3 linked regions of the Coturnix japonica genome follow. The protein of the gene in region 3 purifies or fractionates together with the protein of the main gene of each other region. This does not show direct contact. Links are inferred from orthologs where the notes say so. Each region holds a gene or a part of one and is shown on either strand. Other genes may lie near its edges.

The links.
Region 1: the proteins of RASSF1 (region 3) and MAP1B purify together in Homo sapiens (affinity purification with mass spectrometry; 3 studies listed by BioGRID and IntAct, counting the BioPlex papers as one, with this or other methods). This does not show direct contact. The link is inferred for Coturnix japonica from reciprocal best matches to the Homo sapiens genes RASSF1 and MAP1B.
Region 2: the proteins of RASSF1 (region 3) and SAV1 purify together in Homo sapiens (affinity purification with western blotting; 3 studies listed by BioGRID, with this or other methods). This does not show direct contact. The link is inferred for Coturnix japonica from reciprocal best matches to the Homo sapiens genes RASSF1 and SAV1.

What each region holds. Positions count from the first base shown.
Region 1 is NC_029547.1:23,153,475-23,157,402, forward strand, and holds the start of MAP1B (microtubule-associated protein 1B), read right to left. Parts: upstream 2,801-3,928; 5' UTR 2,698-2,800; coding exon 2,520-2,697; intron 1-2,519. UniProt on the Homo sapiens protein: Facilitates tyrosination of alpha-tubulin in neuronal microtubules. Phosphorylated MAP1B is required for proper microtubule dynamics and plays a role in the cytoskeletal changes that accompany neuronal differentiation and neurite extension.
Region 2 is NC_029520.1:52,524,952-52,528,923, forward strand, and holds the start of SAV1 (protein salvador homolog 1), read right to left. Parts: upstream 2,801-3,972; 5' UTR 2,658-2,800; coding exon 2,564-2,657; intron 1,967-2,563; coding exon 1,520-1,966; intron 1-1,519. UniProt on the Homo sapiens protein: Regulator of STK3/MST2 and STK4/MST1 in the Hippo signaling pathway which plays a pivotal role in organ size control and tumor suppression by restricting proliferation and promoting apoptosis.
Region 3 is NC_029527.1:644,760-648,905, forward strand, and holds the start of RASSF1 (ras association domain-containing protein 1), read right to left. Parts: upstream 2,801-4,146; 5' UTR 2,699-2,800; coding exon 2,452-2,698; intron 1,541-2,451; coding exon 1,419-1,540; intron 720-1,418; exon of another isoform or gene 612-719; intron 66-611; coding exon 1-65. Other genes in the region: ZMYND10 (zinc finger MYND domain-containing protein 10), read right to left, coding at 3,902-3,986, 4,117-4,146. UniProt on the Homo sapiens protein: Potential tumor suppressor. Required for death receptor-dependent apoptosis. Mediates activation of STK3/MST2 and STK4/MST1 during Fas-induced apoptosis by preventing their dephosphorylation.

The DNA.
Region 1 (3,928 bases), on a different chromosome or scaffold from region 3:
CAAAGAATAGCCTAGGCATGCTATCCACACAGCAGCTGAGGATGAGATTTGGTAAAATAGGCCAGATTTGCAGATGCATGATTCAGCATTTTGGATGCAAAACCTATACAAACACCTTAAAATGTAGTATAAATGTATCAAGTAAATTATACAACCAAATCAAGTTTGGATGCAATGGAAGTAAATCTGGAACAAAAATCCAAGGTCAATCCAATGATGTGTATTATTATCAGGATGGAAGAAACTACTGTGAGGATGACTGAGCTGTAGCTATTTCCTTCCTTCTGCAGTCTCTGGAGCATAGCGCCACTAGACACAGGGCTAATCAGACAGCAGACAGGGCACACCCAGCAGCATCTGCCAAATCGGTGGAAAGATCCTGAAGCTTTCTCCTTACTCCCCTCTTCTTCTCTACTGGATGGTGGGCTGGAGGACTGCCCCCTCAGCAGAATGACATCCCAAATGTAATTACTGAAAATGCAGCTTGCCAAGCAATTCCCACTTCATGATATATTAAGAAATGACTCTGCATTCCACCAGGTTACGTAGCATCACGCCACTGATGTCCTATCAGGAGATGTTTTTTGCTGGCATATTGCTCTGCAGTTCAGTGCGTGAATCCACACTTTTCTCTGGTGGTACTTAGGAGATGCACCAGAGAAGACCTTGAGGCAGAGTTATCAAGAACCCTAAAACCACTTAAGGCTCTACTGAGGACAAAGGCTGAAAGAAGCCAGTTTTTCCCTACTGCACTTTCCAAAGGGAAAGATTAGTCAAGCCCTCAAATAGACAGAGCTACAGACTCAGAGTGTACTGATCCAGAACAATGCACCCCAAAATCTGATTTTTTTCCTAGCAGGCAAGATCCCTGTCAAATCACCTGACATCAGGAAGAATGAGGTGACTTTTCAACCAAAATGATGAATAAAAACACTAAGGTATTTCCCTTGAATATCTAAAACTGTAAGCAGGTGTTAAGCTTGTTGGCTGGAGGTAGCAGCAACAGAGCTATGCAGCAGCAGCTTCACAATAGAAGCTTCAAGAAGCGACTGAAGAACATTTCTTCTGAGGAAGGATGACATCAGATGCCTTTACAGAAGTTTTTTTCCATTTGCTCTATAAATTGCATCAATTTAATTGAAATTCAGCCAATTCACTTCAACACAATCAACAATTAGTTAAAACGAGAGAGGGAGAGAGGCGCAATGCTGAAGAGGCTCTGAATGACAAAGCATCTGCATCAGTAGTCCTCCCTAGGAGACAATGGTTGAGATAAAGATCAACGGGTCACGGTGAAGCTGGTAAGCCGGAATGAGGCAGATCTTTGCTGTGAACAGCCAAGAAAAAGAACCATGAGAAATCGCCAACTGCAGCAGAAAGGGTTGAGAACACAACAATAGAGACAAGCGAAGTCCTAGCTGGAGTGCTGAACCACACCTACATTCAAGGCTGGTATCAAATCCCTTGCAGGCTCCCTCTCTCCTTTCACACAATAGCGTATTTCTGATTTTTGCACTTTCATCAGCCCAGAACAAGGTATACACTAAAAAAAAACCAAAAATCACATCTTAGGCTAGTTTAGCAAACTATGAGGTCCCCCAATAATTTCCTTTGTGCTTCATACCACACTTACAGCAACAGGGCTTTTCACCTCTCTATGCACACCGCAATCTCCTTTATTAGAAACCGCATCAAGAACTTACAGAACTCGGACATTTCACATGTGGTACCTTCACCCAAAGCCACCTTAAGGAAAGGGCAAACGAGCAGCGAGCCGCCGCAGCCCGGGATGGACAATAACGGGGCTGGGCACTCAGACTGCAGCCTCGTTACCAGCATCTTTTTTATTTCTTTCAACACAGGGGTGGGTGTGTGCCATGCTTGGGTCCCGAAGGATTCTGCATCGCGCTGCCGAAACTTGGGCACAATGCGCAGGGATGGAGCCGCAGCCCTGCGGTCGCTGGGAAAACGCCCCACTGCCGCCGGGGTCTGCGGCGCTGCGACGGAGACGGCGATGGGGACAGGGATGGGGATGGTGACGGGGATGGGGATGGGCTGCAGCCCCCACCCAGCCCCTTTCCCGGCGGCGCTGGAGCAGGCGCCCTTTGTCCGCTCCGGGCTGCCATAGGGACCGCAGTGCGGTCTGTGCCACGCCCACCCGCCGGTGTCTCCGGGCAGACGGGCTGGGCGTCCGCCGCAGCCCCGACAATGGCGCGGGGCGGGAGCGCGGGGCAGGGGCTGCGGGCGCGGGGACCACGCGGGGGGCCCCGGGGTGCGGGCGGGGCCGGGCGGGACCCGCAGTTAAAGAAAGAGAAGCGCCGGGGCTCGGAGCTGGGCTCGGCGCTCCCCCGCCCCGCAGGGGGTGCAGCGGGCGCGGCTGCAGCAGCACGGAGCCCCCCGTCGGGGCGCCTTGGGCAGCGGGCGGGGAGCGGCCGCCGAGCGGCTGCCGGGGCCGTGCGGGTCGCAGGGGGAGCCGCGCACCGTGCGCTCCGCGCGATCCGCCGCCGCCACCATCTCACCTCGTTCAATGTTGGTGATGGCGCGGCGCAGGTGCTCCTCTGTCACCAGCTCGCCGATGACCACCAGCAGGTAGAACTTGCTGTCCAGGAAGCGATGCGACAGGCTGGGCGAGGGAGCGGCAGGGTTCGGGAGGCTGCAGGAGGGCTCCGAGTCCGCTTCCACTACCACGGTGGCCATCGCACCCCCCGCTCCGCCCCGCGGCTCCGGGGCGCTGAGGGGAGAAAGAAGGGCCGCTCGGCGGCGGCTCCGCAGGCGGCAGGGAGTGAGGGCGGGCGGGGAGGCGGCCGCGCTTTTATACGGAGACGGGGCAGGGCAGGGACCTGCCGAGGAGGAGGAGGAGGAAGGGGGGGAGCCGGCGCATCCCCGCCGCCGCTTTTCCAGCATCCACGGCTGATGTCATCTGCAGCAAATCCTCCCCGCGGCGGCCCCCGGAAGCAGGAAGGACGCGGGGTGCGAACAACGCCCGAGGGTCGCCGGCGGACCCCAACGCCCCGCGGTCTCGCATCCCGCAGCCCTCGGTGGCCGAGGCCCCTGCGGAGCTCCGGCTGCGCCCAACCGGGCGGGATGCGGCTCCGGGACCCGGCCTTCTGCATCGCCCTGCGGTGCTGCAGCGCAGCTCGATAACCCTTACGGCTAGCAATCGCAGTGGTATTCTTACAGTTTGCTTGATGCTTCAAACGTAGGGCTCCTGCATGCCTTCAGTGTGCATGGATTTGTGACTCACCCCAAGGGTTATGGATAGGGTGCTTCCAGCAGTGGACAAGCATTGAGAAACCGTAATGCTAAGGCCTTGGAATTTCAAAGGGCTTCAGGTGGCTCCTTTTTACCAGCAGCTCCAGTGGAGCTGGAAAACACCTTCCATCACAAAAGCAAAGGGCGGGTTCCTGAGTAAAACCATGCCAGAGCCAGATGTCTGCTCTCCCATGTTCATCAAAACCCCCTTAAAAGGTAAATTCAGTTACCACCTAGCAGTGTTTTATCCTCCCCTAAAACTGGATGGAGTACTCTGGGATAAACCAGCCTCCTGGAGATGTTCTCACTTCACAGAAGCCAGGCAGTAGTTTACACTAAGCATCATTTGTGTGGCTGAAGTGATGCAGGACCTGGGAGAAGATATAAATGTTGATAGCCTGGTTTACAAGACAAGTTCTGATTGCTGGCTGAGGAGATGTCAACATGCAGGTCCTTGCAGCACTCATTGCTCTAGTGGCCTGGTGTGCCCTGGTTACACAGTCCTTGCCTGGAGGAAGTGATACCCCAGGTCTGCTTTCTTAGAGTAAGCACTTTGGTTTGGGGCACAGTGCAGTCATTCTAATCGACATGCACTTGTCATTTAATTGACAATCCCAGAACGTCTCTGCCCACATCTTGGACTGAAACTCTGTTGCTCCAGGTGCTGGTCCATAGC
Region 2 (3,972 bases), on a different chromosome or scaffold from region 3:
CAAGTCTTAAACATCAGCATCTCAATCTGCACTGCCTGGCAGCAGCGATGCCAGCACTGCTCTCCTGCCATGCTTCAATGGAACATCTCTGTATTAAAAACCAAACACCACCAGCAAAGCATTGTCAGCTTTTTAGCTCCACCCACAAGTTCAGTGCTGACAATTTTACCAGCAGATTGCAAATAACAATGAACTAACAGCATATTTCACTGCATTATTTAAAGGTCTGGAGTGCTGCTCTCAAACTCCTCCCTGAGCATCATTTCAGCAGTAGAAACACCACTCAAACACCGCCTGCAAGGTCACAGTTCTATGGGTAACACTGACATCTCACATTTCTTCTTTCAGTACATTGACAGCAGCATGACATACAAAAGACTCTTCTGTGTCATCACAGATAACCAAATACTTCAAAAACAAATACTGAAGGGATTTCTTTTCTGATTCTCTTGTTCCATAAGAAAAATGCAGCAGGTCCCTGAAAGTGTGTGATCATGACTCTTCCTCAATGACATGGAATGACCTGGGTTGGAAGGGACCACAAGGATCATGAAGCTCCAACCCCCCACCACAGGCAGAGTCACCAACCTCCACATTGATACCAGCCCAGGCTGCCCAGGGCCCCATCCAACCTGGCCTTGAACAGCTCCAGGGATGGACGGGGCATCCACAGCCTCTCTGGGCAGCTGTTCCAGCACCTCACCGCTCTCACAGTAAAGAACTTCCCCCTGACATCCAATCTAAATCTTCCCTCCTTCAACTCCAAACCATTTCCCCTTGTCCTGCTGTTATCTGCCCTTGTAAAGAGTTGTCTCCCCTCCTGTCTGTAGGCTCCCTTTAGGTCCTGGCAGGCTGCACTGAGGTCACCCCGCAGCCTTCTCTTCTCCATGCTGAACAAACCCAGCTCCTGTAGCCTGTCTTCACAATATTACAATATTATAAGCCAAAAAGAATTCAGACACTAGGAAGTGAATTTTAGCACTAACTACACATCAATTTGCTGATTACACAAAACAGTCATTACTCATTGTTTCACAATAAATAATTCATTATAAAATTAACAAAAATCAAATGACACAATGATATTCTGGGCTTGTTTAGCTTGGAGAAGAGAAGACTGAAAGGAGACCTCATAGTGGGCATCCAATACTTGAAGGGAGTGTATAAACAGGAGGGGGAACAACTGTGAGGGTGGGCAGTGACAGGACAAGGGGGAATGGTTTGAAACTGAGACAGGGGAGGTTCAGGTTGGATCTTAGGAGGAAGTTTTTCCCCCAGAGGGTGGTGACGCACTGGAACAGGTTGCCCAAGGAGGCTGTGGATGCCCCATCCCTGCAGGCATTCAAGGCCAGGCTGGATGTGGCTCTGGGCAGCCTGGGCTGCTGGTTGGTGACGCTGCACACAGCAGGGGTTGGAGCTGGATGAGCACTGTGGGCCTTTGCAACCCAGGCCATTCTGGGATCCTATGTACCTAAAGCTGTTCAGTGATATGTGAAGGGCACAATGAACCCATCCTCACCTGACATGCGCCTCCCATGGTTGTGAGCCATCCTCTGGAAAAGCTCCCCACCGTGCTCATAATACCTGCAGTCCTCATGCAAGCGATCATTCAATTGCCGTCTCCTCTGGGCATCATAGAAGTGATCATAATAGTAACAACGTGTGCCGGCATCTCCATTTTCCATAACCGAGTTGGTTTCTGTCAGAAAGGACTGTGAGGAAGAGCCGTATTCTCTAGCGACGTCAGCTAAACTTCGAGCAAAGTAGGAAGGTGCAGACAGTCTGTTGCTTTCACGCCTCATTATTTCATGGGGCGCCCTCTGCACCGGCGTCCGAAGGAAACTCTGGTTTCTGGAAACAGCTCCATCTCCAGCAGAGCCATAAGCAGAAGGACTCGGGTCGGGAGGGCAGATGTCAGTTCGTCTTGGAATGGTCGGACCGTGACGGATAAAGGAAGGCATCAGATCTGGTACAGCAGAGAAAGGAAATGAGAGCTTTGTACGCACTTATGGTATTTGGCGAGCCAAAGTGTCTGACTTACAGCATGGAAGTAACTCCATTCTGATGCCAGAGCCCCCTTAAAGCACCTCTCAGTGTAGCAGCGTAACAGTAGGGCTGCAGCAACAAAAGCCATCACACCCTCCATGTGCAACAGAAGCTATTGCCAAAGAAGCGCAGTTTAACAGCCAAAGAAGCCAACACAAACAGCTCCCACCCCTTATCAGTCAGGCTCTAAACCTCTCCGTTACACCAAGATCCAGCCCAAGCCCCGTGAATCCCGCCCTATCAACACCTCACCAGCTCAATCACACAATCAAAGCGCGGCCCGGCTTGGGAGGGAGCTCAAGGCTCACGGAGCCCCAACCCCCCCCGTTTATTACAGAGCCCCCCCAGGCCGCAGCGCGGTGTCTCCCCCCGCCCAGCCCCAGCCCTGAGCTCGGTGCGGGCCGGGCCGGGCGAGGGCGCAGCTGAGCGCCGGGCTGAGGGGGAACAACGCGGCCGTGTGGAGCCCACGGCACGGCACGGCACGGCACGGCACGGCACGGCACGGCACGGCACTCACTGCGGAGCAGCGGGCTGGTCTCCTTCTTCACGTACTTCCCCTGCACCTCGCCGGGCTTCGACAGCTCCGCCCGCGTTTTCTTCCTCGACAACATCCCACCTCCTCCTCCCGGCCCGCTCCCAACGCCCGCATACCCGGCTCCGCTCGGGCAGGGCCGGGCCGCCCTCGGGCTCACAGCGGGGCCGTGTGTGGGGCGGGCGGCGGGGCCGTTAGGCGCGGGGCGTTGTGGGGCGGCGGCCCCGCCTGGGGAGGAGACGAGACGGGAGGAACGACGGGGACAGAGCGTCGCGGTGGCGCGGTCACAGCGCCCTCTAGCGGAAGGAGTGTGGCGGTACAGCACTCTGCTTGGTTCGAGATTCATCACCCAGCCCTGCCATAAAGGATGGGAAACAACCAGCCACAAGCAGGGATCTGACAGTGATTTATTTCATTTCTTTACATTCATGATAAATAACACACAGCTTGGTCCCTCCTTCCCCTTCACGTGGTGGTGTAAGGTCAGCACATGACGACGCGCAGCAAAAACAAGCGTACCCAAAGACCAACTGTTTCCATTTATGCATTAGACAGGTCAGCAGTGCCAGCATCACACACAGCAGGAAGGCATGGAACACCTGAGGGCTGGTGATGCTGTTTGTGTTGTAATGGACAGAGCTGGGCTGTCCCCAGCTCCACCTCGCCTATTCATTGGCTAAAAGTATGTTACAACCCTTCCTTTTCCAGCCAGAACTGAACTAATTCAATTTGCTTTGTACCCAAAGTAGCAATGGGAATATAGGTAGCAAAGCATGCTTTTATACCATCCTAAATTGACATGTAGTACTTCAATGGTGTGAATTCAGCTCACGTCCATTTAACACGAGTGCGATTCCTCTGCCCCCTCCTGCTCCCCAGACTCCAGCCCTGGATACCCACATGCCTTTATTCTCACAGTGATTCATAAAATGAGAGTTGAAAGCATTGAAAACACCTTCTGGCCGTGCAGTTACTGATAGCCAAACAGGCGAGCCCTGCTGTACCAAGGAGGCCCAGAAATTCAGTGACTTACCACATCGCTAAATACTTTGGTATCTGAAAAATGCCTGTAGTGCATAGGAGACACATTCATGCACAAAAGACCACAAAATGCTTTGCACGTTTGCATGTTTCTATGCTTATTTTCAGTAGCCTTGACACTGTGGGATGAGCTGCTTATCCCTTGAGCTGACACAACAAGCAACACAACACTGGTTGGAGCACCGTGACCATTCCCCCCACCTGGGAAGGGTTTGTCCTGAATTGTCCTGCAGCAACAAAAGCGGTACAGCATAGAAATGACAAAAGGCACTTCTGAGAACTCATTCGCACAAGCATTCCAATGAGATTTGGGTTTTTTGTCTACTGTGTTTCTCCTCCATCATTCTCCAGTC
Region 3 (4,146 bases):
TCCTTGATGCGCTGCTCCACCTGCGCCGGGTCCAGCTCCGCCGTCTCCCAGCTGCTGGGCTCATCCTGCGGGGTGGATGCCGTGCTGAGCACAGGGTCGCATCGCACCACGGCCTCGTGCCTGTCCCCAACGCCGGGATGGCCACCCCATGGCCGTGAAGGTGGGGTGACGGATGGCGATGCCAACCCACGTTCCTCCCAGCCGGGACAGCCCGGGGTGTCCCCTCCCAGCGCTCCAGATCACAGCGGTGTCCCCGAGGCAGCCGCCAGCCCGGCACCGGGGTAGGCTGGGTGCCCCATGGGGATGCCCGAGGCTTCGGGGCAGCCCGCCCGTGTCTGTTAATGACTATTTACATAGGTCCGCACAGCCGCACGTGTCCTCACGGTGCTGTGGGGCCGGGAGCGGCCGGGGCTGCCGGACCTGCGTGGGGATGGGGGCAGCTCGCTCCCAGCAAAGCACGCTTTCCCCCCCCGCTCCCCCCAGTAACAAGCCGCGCTCGCTCCCACGCGTGTCCCCGTGCAAAGTGCCCCCGAACTCCTCCCACCCAAAAAACGCCCCGTGCCCCCCGCATGACGTCAGCCCCACGACGTCACGGCCGGCCCGGGACCGACCTGGCGGCGACGCGGGCGGCGGCCGAAGGAGGTGCGGGCGGTGTAGAAGAGCTCGGGCTCGGAGTCGGAGTCCTCCTGGCTGCAGTAGCCGCTGCTGGCCGCGCTGCCCCCCGAGCCCCCCGCGCCGCCCCAGCGCAGCGCCAGCCCCGCCGCCCCGCAGCCGCCGGACCCCGCCCCGCCGCCGCCGCCCTCTACCCCGGCCACGGCTGCGGCAGCCCCGGCCCGGGCACAGGGGCACGCCCGGCCCCGCGCCAGCCCGCCCGCTCCGGCCCGGCTCCGCACGGCCCGCTTCGCCCGGTTCGGCTCGGCTCGGTTCAGCGCCGCTCCTCGGCTCGGGTCCCGGCTCGATTCAGTCCCGCTTCCCGGTCCCGGTTTCAGTCTCGGCTCCGGTCCCGGTTTCGGTCCCGTTTCGGCCCGGTTCCTCGCTCAGTCCCACCCGGCTCCGTCTCTCCCGCTCTCCCGCTGCCCGGCCCGGCTCAGCCCGGCTCCGCCCCACCGCGGCCGTTGGCCTGACGCGGGCCGGGGGCGGTGCGGCCCCGTTTCCGGCGGTGATTTCACCCGGGCCACGCACCCTGCGGTCCCAGGGCTGCTGCGGGCACGACACGGCAGAGCTTGGCACGGCACGGCATGGCACAGCACCACATGGCACAGCACCGCATGGCACGGCATGGCGCAGCGTGCCGTAGCCTGGCATAGCACGGCCTCTCGTGGCACGGCTCGGCGCCCCTTGGCTTGGCACGGCCCAGCCTGGGCTGTCCCCGCTCCCTCCACGTCCGCCCCGCTCCCCCCATCCCCGCGGTCCCGTACCACATTCGTGTCCTTCTCCAGCTCCTGCTCGCTGCCATCGTCCTCGTCCCCGGTGCCTGGGGGGCCGCTGCAGTCCAGCCGCACCAGGGCCCGGCAGCGGTAGTGGCAGGTGAAGCTGCAGTCTGGGGCAGAGGACACAATGGGCACAACGGCCCCAGCAGACCCCACGCACCGGCCGTGCCACCTGCCCACATGCCCACGCTGTACCAGGGCACCCAGCGTGGCACCCGGCGCTGCTGGGCCGTACCGAGGTGCCCACGTCCCCTGCCTGGTCACACAGTGCGGGCACCCAGCAATGGGATGCCTGGTACCTGAGCAGGTGCTTGGTACCGGGATACCCGCAACAAGGGGGGTGGTACCGGGATGCTCAGTACTGGGTTGGTTGGTACTGGAATGCTCGGTACCGGGTTCTAAGGACCAGGATGCTCAGTACTTAGGATGCCCATGATCTACTTGGATGTTCAATACTGGGACTGCAGTGTCCATTTTGGGGTGCCCAGTGCCAGGTGGGAGTGCTCAGTACTGTGGAGCTCAGTGCCTGGATGCCTGGTACCCAGCGGGGGTGCCCTGGGCAGAGATGCTCAGCACTGGGCTGCTCAGTGCTTGTTTGGTACCGGGCGCCCACAGCCTGGCTGCTACCAGGATGGCCGGGGAGATGTCTGGTGGCAGGAGGCTCAGCCCGGGGACAGCTGGTACCTGAGAGGATGCTCCATATAGTTTGCCCAGGCTTTGTAGTATTAACCTGGTACAGGGATGCCCCATGCTCGGGGCAGTGGGGTCTGATACCAGGATACGTGATGCCTGGTGCCAGGGGAGGGATGCCCTGTACTCTGTGCTGGGATGCTCGGTGCCCGGGAAGATGCCCGGTACTGGGATGCCCAGTGCCCAGGGGAATGCTCGGTACCGGGATACCAGTCCCAGGGCAGCCACTGCCTGGGGGCTGCACGGTACCGGGATGCTCGGTACCGGGACACCCGGCGCTCATGGGGGATGCGCAGCGCCCGGGGGATGCTCGGCGGGGTGCGATACTCACGGCGGCACTGGAGGCTCTTCCTGCCGCCTCCCCAGACGAAATCCCCGCAGAGGTCGCACCAGGTGTGGAGCCCGCGGCGCCGGGGCTCGAAGCGATGCCCGGTGCTCGGTGCCGCCGGTCTGTGTTCGGGCCGCGCTCCGGGGCCGTGCCGACGGGCCGGGCTGATGCGCAGCGCGTTGGTTCGCTCCAGGCGGCCCCGGCCCGGCCGCGGCTCCGGCTGCAGCTCCCGCAGCTCGATCAGCTCCATGGCCCGGAGGGGGCCGGGAAAGGGGGCGGCCGCCCCGCGGGGGAAACTGAGGCAGAGCCCCGGCGAGGGCCGATGGAGCGGCGGCTCCGCTGGCTGCGTCCGGCGGGGCGGGAGGGAGGCGGGGACGGGGGAGGGTGTGTGGGGCGCTGGCCGGCCCCGTTCCCCGCAGCCCGGGGCGGCCCCGCTCCTCGCCTCAGTTTCTCCGCCGGGGGCTGCCCTGGAACGGCCGCGCTCAGCCCCGAGCTCAGGGCGGGGGCAGAGGGATCCCCCCCCTCCCACCTCCGCCCCACGGAAACGAGCACCGCGGGACCGGACGGCGGCGAACGGCCCCATCCTCAGAGCCGGCCCCACCACGAAATGCCAAGGAGGCAGCAGAGCCGAGCTCCAGCCCTCAAGCACTGCGGATGGGGGAGTCCTCCTGCCCCGAGCCCAAAGCTCCAGTGCCCCTGTGACCCCACCGGCATCTCCTCCCGGGTGCCCTGGGACGACACGGCAGCCGAGGGATCGACTCCTCAGTGCTAAGTCCCTTCAGCTGAAAGCAGGGACAAAAGCAACATTAAAATCACACCCAGGCCATTCGTTTCCCCCTATAGAAGTGCTCACAGCCCCGAGCTGCTGCAGCTCAATTTGGACATTGCTCACAGACATTAACGTTTGGGTGGTGTAGCATGAGGCCGGGCTTTGGAGCTGGTGATCCCAGCAGGTCCCTTCCAGCACAGGATATTCTATGGTTTCTCTCTGCATTCAGCAGCTGACAGACCCGAGCAGCACAGCTTGCTCAGCTCCACACTAACCACATCCTCTGATACCGCCCTGCTGCTCTCACAGTGGAGGTGATGCTGAGCCCTTCTCCTGATGCCTGGAGGAGCTCGATGTGAGTGAGCCCATGCCTCGGTGACAGCAGGCCGGGCCGTTTTGATCTCCATTTCCAAACTTTGTTCGCTCATTTTCAAGTTCTCCAGGCTTCCTGTTGCCTCATAGGGTAAAAAGCAACACACACAAACCTCTCGCTGGGTGCGAGGGAGGGGAGGAAGTGGTTTATTTCTTCAAAGAGGAGACAGGAGGGGGAGCTGAGCCCCCGCGGGGTGCAGCAGGAGCGGGGGTGTTGTGTGGGGGTGTTGTGTGGGGGGGACGGGGAGGCTGAGCCCCACGAGGCTGCGAACCTGCGGGCATCTCTCCAAGGACAATCAGCCCCTGCCCTGCTCACTGTGTGCCCGCAGTGCCCGGTGCCTGTGCCAGCAGGTCGCAGGCAGTGCGATGCTTCTGCCAGTGCTGGACCTGGCACGCCCTGCGGGGGGAGCCGCACGTCAGGGCTGTGTCTGCTCTGCGGAGCCCAGGGGGACGCGCCCACCCCCGGGGCGCTCCTCAAGCTGCCGTAAGGCTGAGAGCGGGGGCAGCAGCAGCCGCAGGTCCCTTACCGTGTGCAGTACCACTCGTTCCTGCAGCGG